2 linked regions of the Lytechinus pictus genome follow. The protein of the gene in region 1 interacts with the protein of each later gene in a pairwise test. Links are inferred from orthologs where the notes say so. Each region holds a gene or a part of one and is shown on either strand. Other genes may lie near its edges. The genes, in order: B-cell lymphoma/leukemia 11A-like and nuclear receptor subfamily 2 group E member 1-like.

What was found.
Region 2: the proteins of B-cell lymphoma/leukemia 11A-like (region 1) and nuclear receptor subfamily 2 group E member 1-like interact in a two-hybrid assay, tested with the Homo sapiens proteins (2 studies listed by BioGRID). The link is inferred for Lytechinus pictus from reciprocal best matches to the Homo sapiens genes BCL11A and NR2E1.

The regions. Positions count from the first base shown.
Region 1 is NC_087251.1:19,343,561-19,350,864, reverse strand, and holds the start of B-cell lymphoma/leukemia 11A-like, read left to right. Parts: upstream 1-4,267; 5' UTR 4,268-4,358; coding exon 4,359-6,476; 3' UTR 6,477-7,304. UniProt on the Homo sapiens protein: Transcription factor. Associated with the BAF SWI/SNF chromatin remodeling complex. Binds to the 5'-TGACCA-3' sequence motif in regulatory regions of target genes, including a distal promoter of the HBG1 hemoglobin subunit gamma-1 gene.
Region 2 is NC_087248.1:12,707,882-12,715,121, forward strand, and holds the start of nuclear receptor subfamily 2 group E member 1-like, read left to right. Parts: upstream 1-3,977; 5' UTR 3,978-4,418; coding exon 4,419-4,560; intron 4,561-7,240. UniProt on the Homo sapiens protein: Orphan receptor that binds DNA as a monomer to hormone response elements (HRE) containing an extended core motif half-site sequence 5'-AAGGTCA-3' in which the 5' flanking nucleotides participate in determining receptor specificity.

The sequences.
Region 1 (7,304 bases):
ACAACATTGTAAATGTGATGATATTTCAGTCTGTACAGTTAACTAAATGGCACCAGTATATTTTCAAAAGGAAGTAAAATGCTGTCTCAACCTTTTCACCCATTATCATTTCCTTTCTTTTAAAGCAGTCCATGCATTAATAAATTGTTAATGTATATTAATGACACCCTGTAAAATGAATCCAAATCGAGTGAAAATTAAAAAAAAATGTTGGATTCATGAAATACCAAGCCCTTTCCTCATTGTGAATGACGTCAGATAAAAAAAAATATTGTTGATTTTTTTATTACAATCAGGGTTGGCCAATTTGCCCTCGCTAATGTGAACAAGAATGGCAGCTGGTCAGAAAATAAAATTCACAAACTTATTGACCATTAACAAGCAATCAGCATTTCTAATTATTCTTGCACTGGTGAATCTCAATGAATTCTACCCGCAGTCCATCATTTATCAATAATTATGATTCACTTAAGTGTCAGCTGTCCAGATAGCATGCAATATCTTTTGCCTTTGACCAATCGACCAGTCACTGTGGTCAGTACAGTGTTTGAGTGACCTCCATTTCAACCGTTCCCAAAAGTCGGTCACTTATAGAAGATGACTGCAGAAGGAAATGCATGCATGTCTTAGATTCACATTGTTTGGTTATGTTTGGCTGTGAAATGTGTTTCAACCTATGACTTCTCTGAAAGTTAACTTTATTTGACTTTATTATATAGAATTGAGCTAATATCCTTGATTCAATATGATTGGTGGACAAAAAAAAATTGATGGGTCATGAGTCTTTGCTGCCTTGTTGATGTCCCACCAAGCAAGGTTTAAGAGTTTGGTATGATAAAATAGTTCAGGAAAATAGAGGTATAAATGTATTTCCTTTCATTAGTAAAATTTTAAATTCATGGAGGAAACAAACCATTTTCATACACAATTTATTTCCAAAAGCTTTAAAGGAGTTGAATGATAATTAGCGCATTGCATGCCTGCTAATGGCAGCCTATTGTTATAATTATTTATTTTTTAATGAGCTGTCTCAGACATAGGCCTGTCTAGCCAAGTACTAATTCTACTGGTACATATGAACTTTTGCTGACCTGGTTGATTTCAACCTAAACTTTATACTAATACTCACACCTCAGTGACAAAATATCACAATTCAATCTTACCGGGAATTATAACTGTGAATTAATACTGCCATTCTTTACACCTTCATAGTCATGGTTCAAAGAAGTAGGTCAAGAAAACGAGATAGGTGGATAGCGATGAAGGGGGGGGGGGCAGGTGGAGGTTGAGGGGATAAAAAAACACATCAGGAACATGTATGTAACACTTTCGGGGGTATAATGCGAAGAAAAAGGGGAATAGAAATATTAGGTCAGCAATTAATTAGATTTGTCTTTTGTGGAAGTAATGATCAGATGATGGTCAAATTAAAAGAGATGATGGTCATCGCTTTGGAACTAATATCCAAGGTCACTTTGACCAATCGAATCGTGATGTCTGGTGAAGAATTTAGACCTGATTAGGCTTGCATACGCTTGACCTACATTGCTACTAGATTCACAGATTTAACCACAATACACTTTAGACAAGAAAATTTGATGTTGTACTATAATTTTTTTCATTGCTGGTTGTTATATGAATAGATGATCTCTTTGAATTGACCCTTCTCCCTCCCCTATCATTTAATATAATTTGCATGCCAAGAAATATGAAGAATAAACTGATTAAAAAATTATCAAAATTTTATGTTGATACTCATCATCCTAAAAATTATGTAATATAAATTCACATAATATAAACATGTTTGTTCTGTCGAATAATGTGAAAGTTTTCTTTCATTTTTTTTAATTGACCTGCCTATGTCTAGCCATTGATGTTGATGACAATGCTGAACATGAAATTGATGTGTAATCCCAATTTCTTAAAAAATAATCATTAAGCCACTCCCTTATGAGAATAAAAGTTTCATTTAAATCAGATTCAAACTAGGAAGACTTCATGATATTTTAAGGTTTAGCTCAATTTCACAGAACAGTCATTTGCACACAAAAATCATAGTGATATGCAAAGTAGTGATGGCATCACACACTATTTTTTAAGATTTTAGTATATTTTTAATAAAATATTGAATATTTCAATTTTTCAAAAATTTGAAATAAAACGATGTGTTGGTTGAAAAATAATAACATACAATAATGGTGATTCTTTACATGTTCACTGAACAAGCAGACCATATATTACAAGGGGAAAATAGTGAAATATCATGTTTCAATTTTCAAATAGCAAAGTCCAAAAGTCATATTGTGTATGCAACATTTTTTTGTGAGATTGAGTACAAATTTAAAATTACATAACTTTCTTAATTTACTTCTACTTTTGATGACATATCAGTGTTGTGCTCATTCTATTCTTCTACTTTAATTCAAATCAATTAGTTGTTGAGAGCCCAACTAGGGATGCACTGATTTAAAAAAGAAACAATGTGAGAATTACATCAATTTATCAAGAAATAAATACAGAAAGTAGCAGTTTTTTTTTTATTCATAAGAAAGCTAGAGGGACCTTTATGAGAAAAGGTATATGTACATGTATAATGCATGCATTATTCTGTCTGCAAATAAGAGTTATGGATGCCATGCAGAATATTCATGAAGATGTTGAGTCGGTCAAATCCTAGTACATCCCACAGTGTCATATCATTATCCATTGGCAGTAATGCCAAACCAACTCATTTTATGCCTTTTTCTTTCCATCCATAAAGTTTCTATTGCTTTTCATTACAGCCTGCAGTTTGCATTTATTTATGAAGCTGTCCTCTCATTTTGCCTCAAAATATAGAATAAACTTTTTCATAACTTCATATATGACACCCAGTGTATAAATTCTATACAGTGCGTCCCACAAAAAACGAAACCGAGATTTATGGATGATTTATCATAACTTAATCACAAATACAATAGACAAGTGACCTACCATTGTAAAGCTTAGAATCTCCTCTTTCATCTGAAATTACTTAGATTATTCCGCATTTACGCATGAGTGAGCAAAAACAATTTGAAGAAAGGATACCAAAAAATCATTTGGCGGGGGGGTATCTGAATTTCAAAAAGAAAATCACATTCCTAAAAAGTTCAATATCTGCTCTTTTATTTGATACCTTAATCACAGAAAATGGTCAAGAAGTAAAAAAGTTCTGTTCCCTTGAATCAATGCTTGTATTTCCATAATTTCATTAAATAAACGTGTTTTCACCAGTTTCCCACAGAAGCTATCGCACGGTTAACAAAAGACTTAATGCATGGCTGATCCTCAAGAAAACGGAGTGTTGAGTGACTGTGAATGCTAGCCTGTAAAACCTCTTCATTTTATGAAATCATTGAAATTCAAGCTTTATTTCAAACAAGCAGAACTTTGTTATTTCTTGACCATTTTCTGTAATTAAGGTATCAAATTAAAGAGCAGATATTGAATTTTTTTGAAATGTGGTTTTCTTTTTGAAACTTCGATACAGCCCGCCAGGTGAATTTTTGCTTTTTTTTTGCTTACTCATGCGTGAATGAGAAATAATCTAACTAATTTCAGATGAAAGAGGAGATTCAAAGCTTTACAATGGTAGGTAACTTGTCTATTGTATTTGTGATTAAGTTATGATAAATCATCGATAAATCTCGGTTTCGTTTTTTCTGGGACGCACTGTATAATACTTTTCATAGAATTGAATTAGAATGCATTGACAGCCCATCATAGTTTTCCACTATGGATTAGGATTTATTGGCAGCTGGTTTAAGATTGTAAAGGGGGAGAATCTATTTCTAACCTACATTTTTATCACAGGGAATTGCGTAAAGATGAACATCTGATTAAGTTATTGTGATTTATTAAATGTCAATGACATACTTTCGAATAGTTATTTGATGAATTCTTTCTAAGCCCTGTATATTAAACATGTTAACACCCACTGTAAATATTTGAATTAACTATTCTCAGTTTTATAAAAGACTTATCTTTGGTTTAGTTACATGCATCTTTTGATATAAGCTTAGATTTTTATTATTTTATCTTAATTTCTCCTTCTTTTCTGTCATTTCTAGTTTCTTCCTTCTCATTTGCATTCTCTCTCCCTCTCCCCTGCTCTTAGCTTTAAGATTTGTTCCTTTTTATTTATGTGTATGTGATTTTAATAAATTTAATTTACCTCTAAAATATAATCATTCTTGATGCTTAATGAATTTTCCTTTCTATATTCTTTATTTCTCTTTGCAGATCCCCACGCAGCTGAAAAATACATATGTGTGTCTTGCAAGGGCTTGTTTGAGAATGCTGCAACGCTCCTGAAACATGCACAGGAAGACCATGGAATGCAGATATACACATTTCCAAAGGAGGAGAGGCCTTTCTCAAGGTCCCGGTCTGTGTCTGTGGAGTCGGTCTCTCAGGTGGACTCCCTCTCACCCAAGAGCACAACATCTAGCACCAGCAAGCAGCTTATTCCCAAACCAATAGAGAGCAGTTTACCACAAATTATTCACCCTCCACTGGCTCCTATACCAGTCCACAGTCCACATTCTCATCCTGTAGATGGTCACACGCCAACGTTTCCAGTCTTAATTCGTCCAACGGGCCCAGATAGGCTGTATTCACCTGGGTTGGAGAGGCTTTATCCCCATATAAATCACATGCACCGGAGGGATTTTCATATGCCTCCTCCAGAGAGTAGAATCACTGAGCTACCACCACATATATCTCCTGTCAGCATAGCCGACTTTCACACTCAGCTGCCATTTGTCCCCCCTCCACCGCCACCCCTACCGCCACCACACCTTCAACCGCAACATCAACATCAACATCAACATCAACCACCGACGGATTCCAGTGCTGCAAACCACTTGAAGCTGTTGGCCAAAAAGAGCCCACCACTCTCACCACACAGGCGTCTGCCTTACCCTGGCTATCCGACCCGCAGGTATCCATCTTTCTCGTCCAAGGGCAAGTCATGTGAATTCTGCGGGAAGACGTTCAAGTTCCAGAGCAACTTGGTCGTCCATCGCAGATCTCATACAGGTGAGAAACCTTTTAAGTGTCATCTGTGTGATCATGCCTGCAGTCAAGCCAGCAAGCTAAAGCGACACATGAAGACACACATGAATAAACCACCATCGGCAATGGGATCCGCTCCAGATATGGATGATAAGGATGAAAACAGCAATGAGGAAGAAGGGCAAGAGGGATCAATGGGCACCGGCGATAGAAAGAATATGAGTGATAGCTCCTCCCCAGAAGAGGAAGAGATGGAGGAGGAAGAAGAAGAGGAAGAGGAGGAAGAGGAGGAAAAGGAAGAAGAGGAAGAAGAAGAGGAAGAACCTGATGAGGCAGACATGGTTGATATAAAACCAAAGGAACCTGAAAGAGAGAATGAAGAAATAACTGTGAAGTCTGAAGGTGAAGCCAAATCATCAGAACAAGAATTTGAAGAGGAAAGATCCAAGGAAAGGAGGCCATCAAGCGCTGATGTGGAACGCGTGAGGAATGTGAGCAGAGGGAGTCCTAAAGGACTATCACATCATCATTCTTCATTGTTAAGTGAGATGATGGTCAATTCTGGATTAGATGAAATTCAGCAATACAGCGAAGCATTTAAGCAGGCCATAGCAGAACGGAATATAATCTTTGGAAAGCCTCGATCGTTGAGTGATGTATCGTCACCAGAAAACCACCATCCACGTAATTCTAACAGCAGGCCACCATCCAGACCACATGATCACCACAGTCCCATTGAATCAAGTTTGATGGCAAGGCTACGAGCAGAGCATACCCTTTTCCAAGGTAATCATCCTTTAACACAAGGTATAGTAGAGCGTAGTGCTATGTCTGACTTGGAACTGGTGACCAACCGCATCAAAATGGAACCATCAACATCATGGCCACCTTCTCCTTTAGCAATACATAGAGAACCACTCATGTCATCACCCGTCCGCTCGGATGCCAGCCCACTTGGAACAACAAATGGCGGTCCAGCTGCTTTCTTTGCTCAGCGTCGCTTCATAGAATCCAACGGTGGCATGCCATCCAACGCCGTACTGCCATACTCAAGTCCTCCCAATAGAATGAAGCCACAAAGGGCATCGGAGAAACGGAGCGATACCTGCGAGTTCTGTGGCAAGCGGTTCAAGAATTGCAGCAACTTGACGGTCCATCGTCGTTCACACACTGGTGAGAAGCCGTACAAATGTCAGCTGTGTTCATATGCTTGTGCTCAGAGTAGCAAGCTTACACGCCACATGAAGACCCATGGTCATGGTGCAAAAGAAGTCTTCAAGTGTGAGGTGTGCAACATGCCCTTCTCTGTCTACAGCACTCTAGAAAAGCACATGAAGAAAGAGCATTGGGGGGCCATCAAGGGGTTGGCTCCCCGTACCGACGCGGTGGGTGCACGAATGTACAGCTACAAGGCCAATCTACCAGGATTGTCTAAGTGATATGAGGTAGTCACTCTAAAAGAACAACCTCAAATCTACAAGACTTGCCTGTCTTGAATGAGAACAGCCACTCAAGGCTGGTTCTTCCTTGCAGCTGATTCCCGTCGTATTCACTCCATGGAGTGAAAATGTCTGTCTAGTATAACTGTAAATGTTCCACAACCCCTAGTTTGCAGTAGCTTCTTAGCAACTTGGATAGTGGTGATCAAATTATCACTCTAATTCCCACATGACAACTCTTTAGCCAGCCATGTACTGTCTTCATTACAAAACAGGCAAGTCATTTTTAGCAAGCTTACATTTGCAGCCTATTAATGCTCAATGCTATCTTTAAAAGCCTTTTGCTATTGAACATGATATGGGATATTTTTGTTCACTTATGGGCAGTCAAAACCGCTATACAGTGATTATTTATAAGAAATTTCTTCATAGAAATTTGATAATTTCTTCTGCAGAATCTGAGTCTGAAATAGAAAAATAAGTTGATAATGAAATGTACAAGTTTTTTCTACATTTGTGAATATCCTAAGATTTCCACTCTTCATGTATTTCTACGTGGGAGAATGGAGCTTTCCATGAAGTGAATTGGAGCTACAAGATATCCATTCCATGTCTGTCTGCCTGGTGTAGGGGTCTTATGTATAAAGTAGTGTAGGCAAAAATATAGCTTTCTTTATCCTGTTCTTGCATCTTCAAGCGAGCTTATCGCAACACAGGCCTGATGATCCTTAATATTCAAGTGGAATGTATGATGTATACATCGTTGGCTGCATATTACTATCATGGAATATTGATAAATATAATGTATGTAATTCATTGCCAAACTTT
Region 2 (7,240 bases), on another chromosome or scaffold:
TCAGGAGCTGGATGGCGAAGGCAACAGGTTATGTGTCCGCATGCCCCTGGTGCCGCCACCGATATCAATACAGTTTATCTAAAGTTATAGGCCGTTGGTTCGTTCCTGAATACAGAATTTCATATTTTTTCTTTAGAAGCATATTATTTATGGCTAAATATTATAGCCTGTGAGTTCGAATCGCGCCAAAATTTACAAATCGAATAGTGCGCATGCAACGTTAAACATATTAATGAGAGCTGAAAATGGGGTTTACTAATTAAAATAAAATATTTATACAGAAAAAATACTATCAAAACATAATGTTTTATCACAAAATGAAGAATTAAGAATAAAATTGAAGAAAACTTTTAGCTCTTTGTCATTATCATTATAATGTTTGTGTAACCACAGATACCTGTTTCAGAAAAAAAAGCTGAGTTTAACAGTTAAACGCAGAAACATCAATACACAAACGAATAGTCCAAAATAAGCGTTTTTGATTGGTTTAAAATCAAGTTGTGATTTATTGCAAATCTTCTGTTACAAGTTCTAGAACCTAATAAGAATTGCGAGATGTTCAGACGATGATACATTACGAATATTTATAACCTTACGTCTAAACACGACTTGTTAATAGTGATGTCATAATGCAGGCGGTTGTTTGTGCAGTTGGTGTAGTTCCCTGGGAAGTAAGTAGCCTTTTATAGATTTGTGTTTTCCGCTGGAATCCACATGCATTAAGAAAATCGATAAGGGCAGTGAGTTGATTTATCAGTAATAGAAGTGAATTGTTCTTTGATTTGTAAGATACATTTTCACAATTTTGAAATATTGTGTGAATGATGGGGGATAACTGCTTTGCAGTGGGCCCGCATTCAGGGGGGTTGAGCTGCAGACCTCCCCCACCCTTCACACGTACAAACGTATACCGCCCAGACACACACACCCTCACACAGTGGTGGTGCTTCAAGAGAAAAGACACTCCCTGCTTGTTTTCAAGTAATGAAAATGTGGAAGAAAAGAATAGGGTTAAAGAAGAACATTAAAAAAGAGAGTCACGTAACTATAAATCATCCCGATGCCGCCCCTGCATACACACGTACACCCCATACATTCCAGAGGGAAACTTCTCGATTCCTTGTTTATTTTTCATGCTTTTGGATATTGTTTGATATTCACAAATAAATTGACTGTAATATATTAATTTCCATGTGAATATATCTCCACAATTTCAGACTCGTATTGTCATAATGATATTCAAACTCTTATTTTGGCTCAAAGTATAACGCAAAGCTATAACCTTCTCGTAATCCATATATGCCCATCTAAGGTGTGCTTCATTTCATTTAAACCCAAATAGTGTTAGTGATAGGCCTATACGACAGGCAGTCGAGCATGCACCCGCCAAGACAAAATCTTATTCCTAACGGATCAAACTACTGATCACAGCGGACAATAGATTTTAGGCCCAATATCGTAGAACCTCTTGTTAAAACTGACAAAAACAACTCAAATCATGGAGTTTGATTGGCTTTTGTAATTCATTTATTAACAGTTCATAGAAATTTTGCATTTGAAAGCAATCAAAAGTTTTATGGAACGGGGCCAAATATTCTCTATGGCGATCTAAAGAAGATATCAACATGTCGGTTCTTTCACAAAATAATTTCTCGATTATCGGTTGGATTTTCAGTGTTTTTTTAGTCATTTATATCATTTAATTTAAAGATGAAATATCTAATAATGAATTTTTAAAAATCTGATTAGAATTAATATATTTGCGGGGGGCTTAGTTTCATATAATTTTGGTAATTTACTTTCAAATTTTGCAAAATATTTGTCTGATCTTTATAAAGATAGAAAAGAATATGAAATGGTCTCTTGATTTTTTTTACAAAATAACTATACGTATATGTCGGTCAGTTTTGGTGAATCGATGATTTTAGCAAATTGCAAAAAAATATACACTATAATACGCCTTCATTCAAATCCTAAGTTGACAAAATTTGGTCAGTCCTTTATCGATTGATCCAAAGGCGGTGATTTGCCACTCTGTCAAATAGTAGACCAATATTATCATGATTATATAGGCTTACTATTTGTACATGCAAGCATGCCCAGATTGTGCCAAGTTCATGCCCCCGGGTCCCAGATTGGCTGGGGTCTGGGGCTTCAGCCCCCCAAACCTTTTTTCAGTGTATGAAAACGTAGAAATTACCTTCAAATGTTTATGTAATGCATGCCAAGCCCCCCCCCCCCCGCGCCATCCATACATATCCACACATACACAAACTTTCAAAATCGGTTAAAAAACAAACAAAGAATTCGGTTGAGGCAGTAGCTAAGAAGCAAGAGAAAAGAGCAAAAAAAGAGGAGAAAATATATATTGATGCTAAGCAAACAGAATAGGTGTATGTATCTGTTCACTGTTTGGTTTGCCTTCATTCACCATAACTCAAAATAGTTATTTTAGAATATCTAACCCAAAGATCTATAATCTATCTGATGTTCACGCACCTTTTTAGCCTTTCAGCTTTAGGCTTACTAAGTTATCCAAATGGCTCATTACGCAATAGCACTCATCAACTCTATCAACGAATCCCATACACAATTCGATTGGAAATGAACGGGGTTTTGCTGTCGGGAAAATCGAAAAAATTAATTATAATTGAATGTTTTCCGCTCGTTAACGTCACCTCACTTATAAATGCCACTCAATAAAACATTAGGTAGTCAAGCAGCAGCTAGGTTATGGGATAATAAAAGTTGATGTGGAATGACTCCGAGCAGAAGTCTATTTAATTCCCAAGACCTATATACCTATAAAGTCAAAAAGTATTGTGTATTCTCAGTCTAAAAGTGATTGGTAATGAAGCGCAGCATACTTTAAAACAAAAGGCTAAGTCAAGATACTAGACAATAATTTTAAAAAACCCCACAGAATTAGCACAAGAAAAATATGTTCGGCCATATTACAACTATTACAAATATATTGATAACTTTAGACGTGATTGTAATCGTAGGCGCCGATCACGGGACCCCCCCCCCCCCCACGAATTTCTATTCATTTATTTGGTAGTAGTAGTTGTAGTAGTAGTAGTAGTGTAGAAGTAGAAATAGTAGTAGTAGTAGTAGTAGTAGTAGTAGTAGTAGTAGTAGTAGTAGTAGTAGTAGTAGTAGTAGTAGTAGTAGTAGTAGTAGTAGTAGTAGTAGAAATAGCAATAATAGAAGTAGTATATAGAAAAGGAGCCGCAGGAGAAAAAGTAGTATAATAGTAGTAACAGTAGTTAGAAGTAGTAGTAGTAGTGGTAGTATAGTAGTAGTAGTAGTAGTAATAATAGAAGTGATGGCGGCGGTAGTGGTATAGTGGTAGTATAATATTCGATTTAGAAGTGGGAGTAATGAGAAAGGGCCATAGTCAGACTGAAAACTGGACATGCGCAGACGCGTCTAAGCCGGTCAGATGTATAGGTTCTCATTACCATGGTTGCTAAGGTATCCAAATAAAGTTCAGTTGTACTGATATAGGCCTATGTCTCGCAAGACATTTATGTGGGGGTATCTGTATTTCTAAAGTGTAATCGGCCATTTGTTGTGTTTTTATCATCACTTTATCAGAATTTCGATTCTCGTCCCAAAATTTAATGTGAATGATAAGTGTAATAATTGAGTTTACAGAAAAACAATTCGAAATAACTTTTACTTGTTTATGTTATTATTCAAAAAGTGGATCATGATTGACTACCAAGAATGCCCCTTTAGACTAGCCCAAGGATAAGGATGACAATACCAGGTTTTGACATCGTTATTTTCTATCATTATCATTCTAAAGGCGTACATTTTATTTTGTTTGGACACTCTGTATCTTTCGGGGGATTTACCCTGTTCTATGCACTCTAATAAATGATACATCATAACCCGCCAATCCTCCCATTGCTTGCTTGATAAATTATGACGTCACTGGGAAATGATTCGATCGTATATGCACTTGCCTCATATAGTCGGTGTACACCAATTAAAGACAAACCTTTTCTTTTGCCGGTCGAAAGCCCTCTCTGGATATATTTCTCCATCAAGCAGATCGGTTAAGATCAAGATTATTAACAGTTTTGGACTACAAGTGAGCTTGTTTTGTCTTTAGAAGACTTTTACCGATTAAACCCAAAGCATTGATAAAGGTTGAGCTTAATCTTTTAATCTTCAAAACTGATGTATGCCTCTATATAACTTTGTTTTTCTTCTTCACGTGGAACTTTGATTTGCTTTTTTATCGTATGAAGAGAAAATTGCATACTTTCTTCAAACTTTTGCTCAATTCAGAAAATGTACTGACTTAGTTGCCTTGCCTTTTGTATACTCGTTAATTAGTTTAGACGCCCTTCTTGTTAACAAAAAAACACACAAAGATTTGAATCATTTTTGGACTTTGTATTAAAATGGACATCCTGAGCTTCGATGAAGATAGTCATCATCGTTCGTTTTCAACGACCACGGGGTTGACGGCGCCTAAACTCACACTGACATCGATTTCGACACCGAGCATTATTCGTCCAGAGCAACGACATACAATCAAAATAAGTAAGTATATGAAATACTTAAATAATACTTTTTGAAAGGTCCATACTGTTTTATATCATATAAATTACATATCATGATTAACAAATTTATTCAAAGCATTACGTGATTCAGAACTGGGAACAGCTCCGAAGTATTTGTTTTTTTAAGCTAATCAATTTTCTATGTAAATATCACTTTCTATTCAAATAGCATAATTAACATATTTATGTTATAAATGTAGGAAATACAATATCAATAGATATCGTGACCCCGTCTTACAAATGTTGTTTGAATAGGCAAACTATAGTCAGTTTTGACTATTGTTGCCTTGTTAATTTGCTTTCCTTTTTTTTTCCGAAACAGAATAATTTCTTTGTTGAATCTATATCAGTTAAAAAAGGTAAAGAAAAGAGAGGAAAGAAAAGTTCTTAGGAAATCGTGCAAGACCACCTCTACTGCCCTGTATAGCACGTTATCCTGACAAGCCCGCTCTTATGCCTTACGAAGAGTTGCGATAGATTGTATAGAAATGAATAGAGATTGATCTATAATTATGTAGTTAATACCTATTTCTTACTGACGCGATTCGCGTCAGGATTGAACCCGTGATCTAAATCGTGGAGCAATCGTAATGATCGTGTCAGATATCGTATCATATCTTGAAGTTAGTCGTGGCAGTCGTTACGGTTGTGATTGTGAAAAAAAAATTGGACGGCTCAGAAATTTCCCCATCAGCTACGAAAAGCCAATCACAATTTGAGTTTGATTTGAATGTGTTCGCAACTCTTCGTCCGAGAGTCAATTCTAATTCTAATAATAATGATAGCTGGATTTATAAAGCACTTTTTTCCTGAGGATACAAAGCGCTGCTATTATTACCCCGGCTTTAGCTCGAGCAACCATCACCGGCGCTCAGTGCACGCAATGCATTAATCCTGCCGGGTACCCATTCACCTCACCTGGGTCGAGTGCAGCACAGTGTGGATAGATTTCTTGCTGAAGGAAAACACGCCATGGCTAGGATTCGAACCCACGACCCTTTGTTTGAAAGGCGAGAGTCAGAACCATTAGACCACGATTCTATACGCTTTATATTTTTATCAATATAATGTGACGCTAACAACATTTTGCATTTGTCGTCAAATTTATTTATATTTTATCATTAAGCTAACATGTATTTCTATACTTATGGACGATGAAAACAAATCTAAATCTACAACGACAAATATGCATACTTTCATTTATTTCAAATCTGGATTAGTTTATTTAGATGTGTTTGATTTCTAGTTTGATATTCAATACAAACCAATGATCGTATCAGTCATGATAAATAATAACAATATAAATCACTTTGGAACATTTTCCCACTTTATCTAACTGTGTATTCGTATACTTCATTCTGTGTCCGTTTTAATATATATATATATATATATATATATATATTCTCCTAATGCGATTTATTGATATTTGTTTGTTTCTGTTATTACAATAGTCCTTTTAGGTTAACAGTCAACAGACTCGCATTCTACTGGGTATGCCTATCTATCTCCATGATTACATTCCGAGTCTAACATCTCCAAAGTGCACACGGTTAACTTTTTTTGCCCTCATAGCTTTTCTATCAGACATCAATAAACATAACCTTAAATTTGAAGCCACCAACACCACGAGACATGTTAGCTTTCTGCATCAGAACGCTTCTTAATCCGGAGTTTATTGCATTTCACACATTTAATTAACATCGCGGTCCCACTGGATTCCAGGTTGGCACCATTCTATGCAGGTGTACACACTCTAACGATGCGACGCCACCAATCCTCGAATACCAGAGAATGTTGAAAGGCGAACAGCTTTTACACCAAACTTTGTTTTGCTGTTAGAGGCGTTTTCTGTCTTGATTTCATCTCAGAAATCTTGTCTAGCAAGATAAAGAACCGAAATCATCTCGTTGTCATCTTATCTTACTAGATTTTTTTAAATATATACTATTTACAAGAATGTTTTTAATAGGAGGCTGCACTCTACAAGCTCCGCTTGTAGCAGCGTCCACCATTGCTAACATGTCTGTGTATAGAGTTTTGCAATATGTTTATTGTTTATATCAAGCTTTACGAAATCAAAAATTATATTGTAATTGTTGGAAATTGAAATGAATGAAAATGAAAATTGGAAAAACAAAATGATATACAGTACTTGAAATACTTAAAATGACCATGATAAAGATCAATATTCATGTACTTTTACTATTATCTATTACTATTATGTAATAAGTCGGCATATATAAAGATATTATTTATTGGTAAAAGTGCTTCATCTGATTTATTAATTATGATATAAATCAATATATTTTGGGATATTCATAAAAAGGGTAGATTCAAATTAAAGTTGTAAATCAAGCATGCGCAAAATAAAGAGCTATGTGTTCTCTAAAATATAAGAGCTCTTCTTTTTCAAACAAGTCGAACAGACGGGCAGATTATGTAGATAGATAGATAGATAGATAGATAGATAGATAGATAATGTAGATTGGATAGATAGATAGATAGATAGATAGATAGATAGATAGATAGATAGATAGATAGATAGATAGATAGATAGATAGATAGATAGATAGATAGATAGATAGATAGATATATAGATAGATAGATAGATAGAATAGGATAGATTGGATAGATAGATAGATAGATAGATAGATAGATAG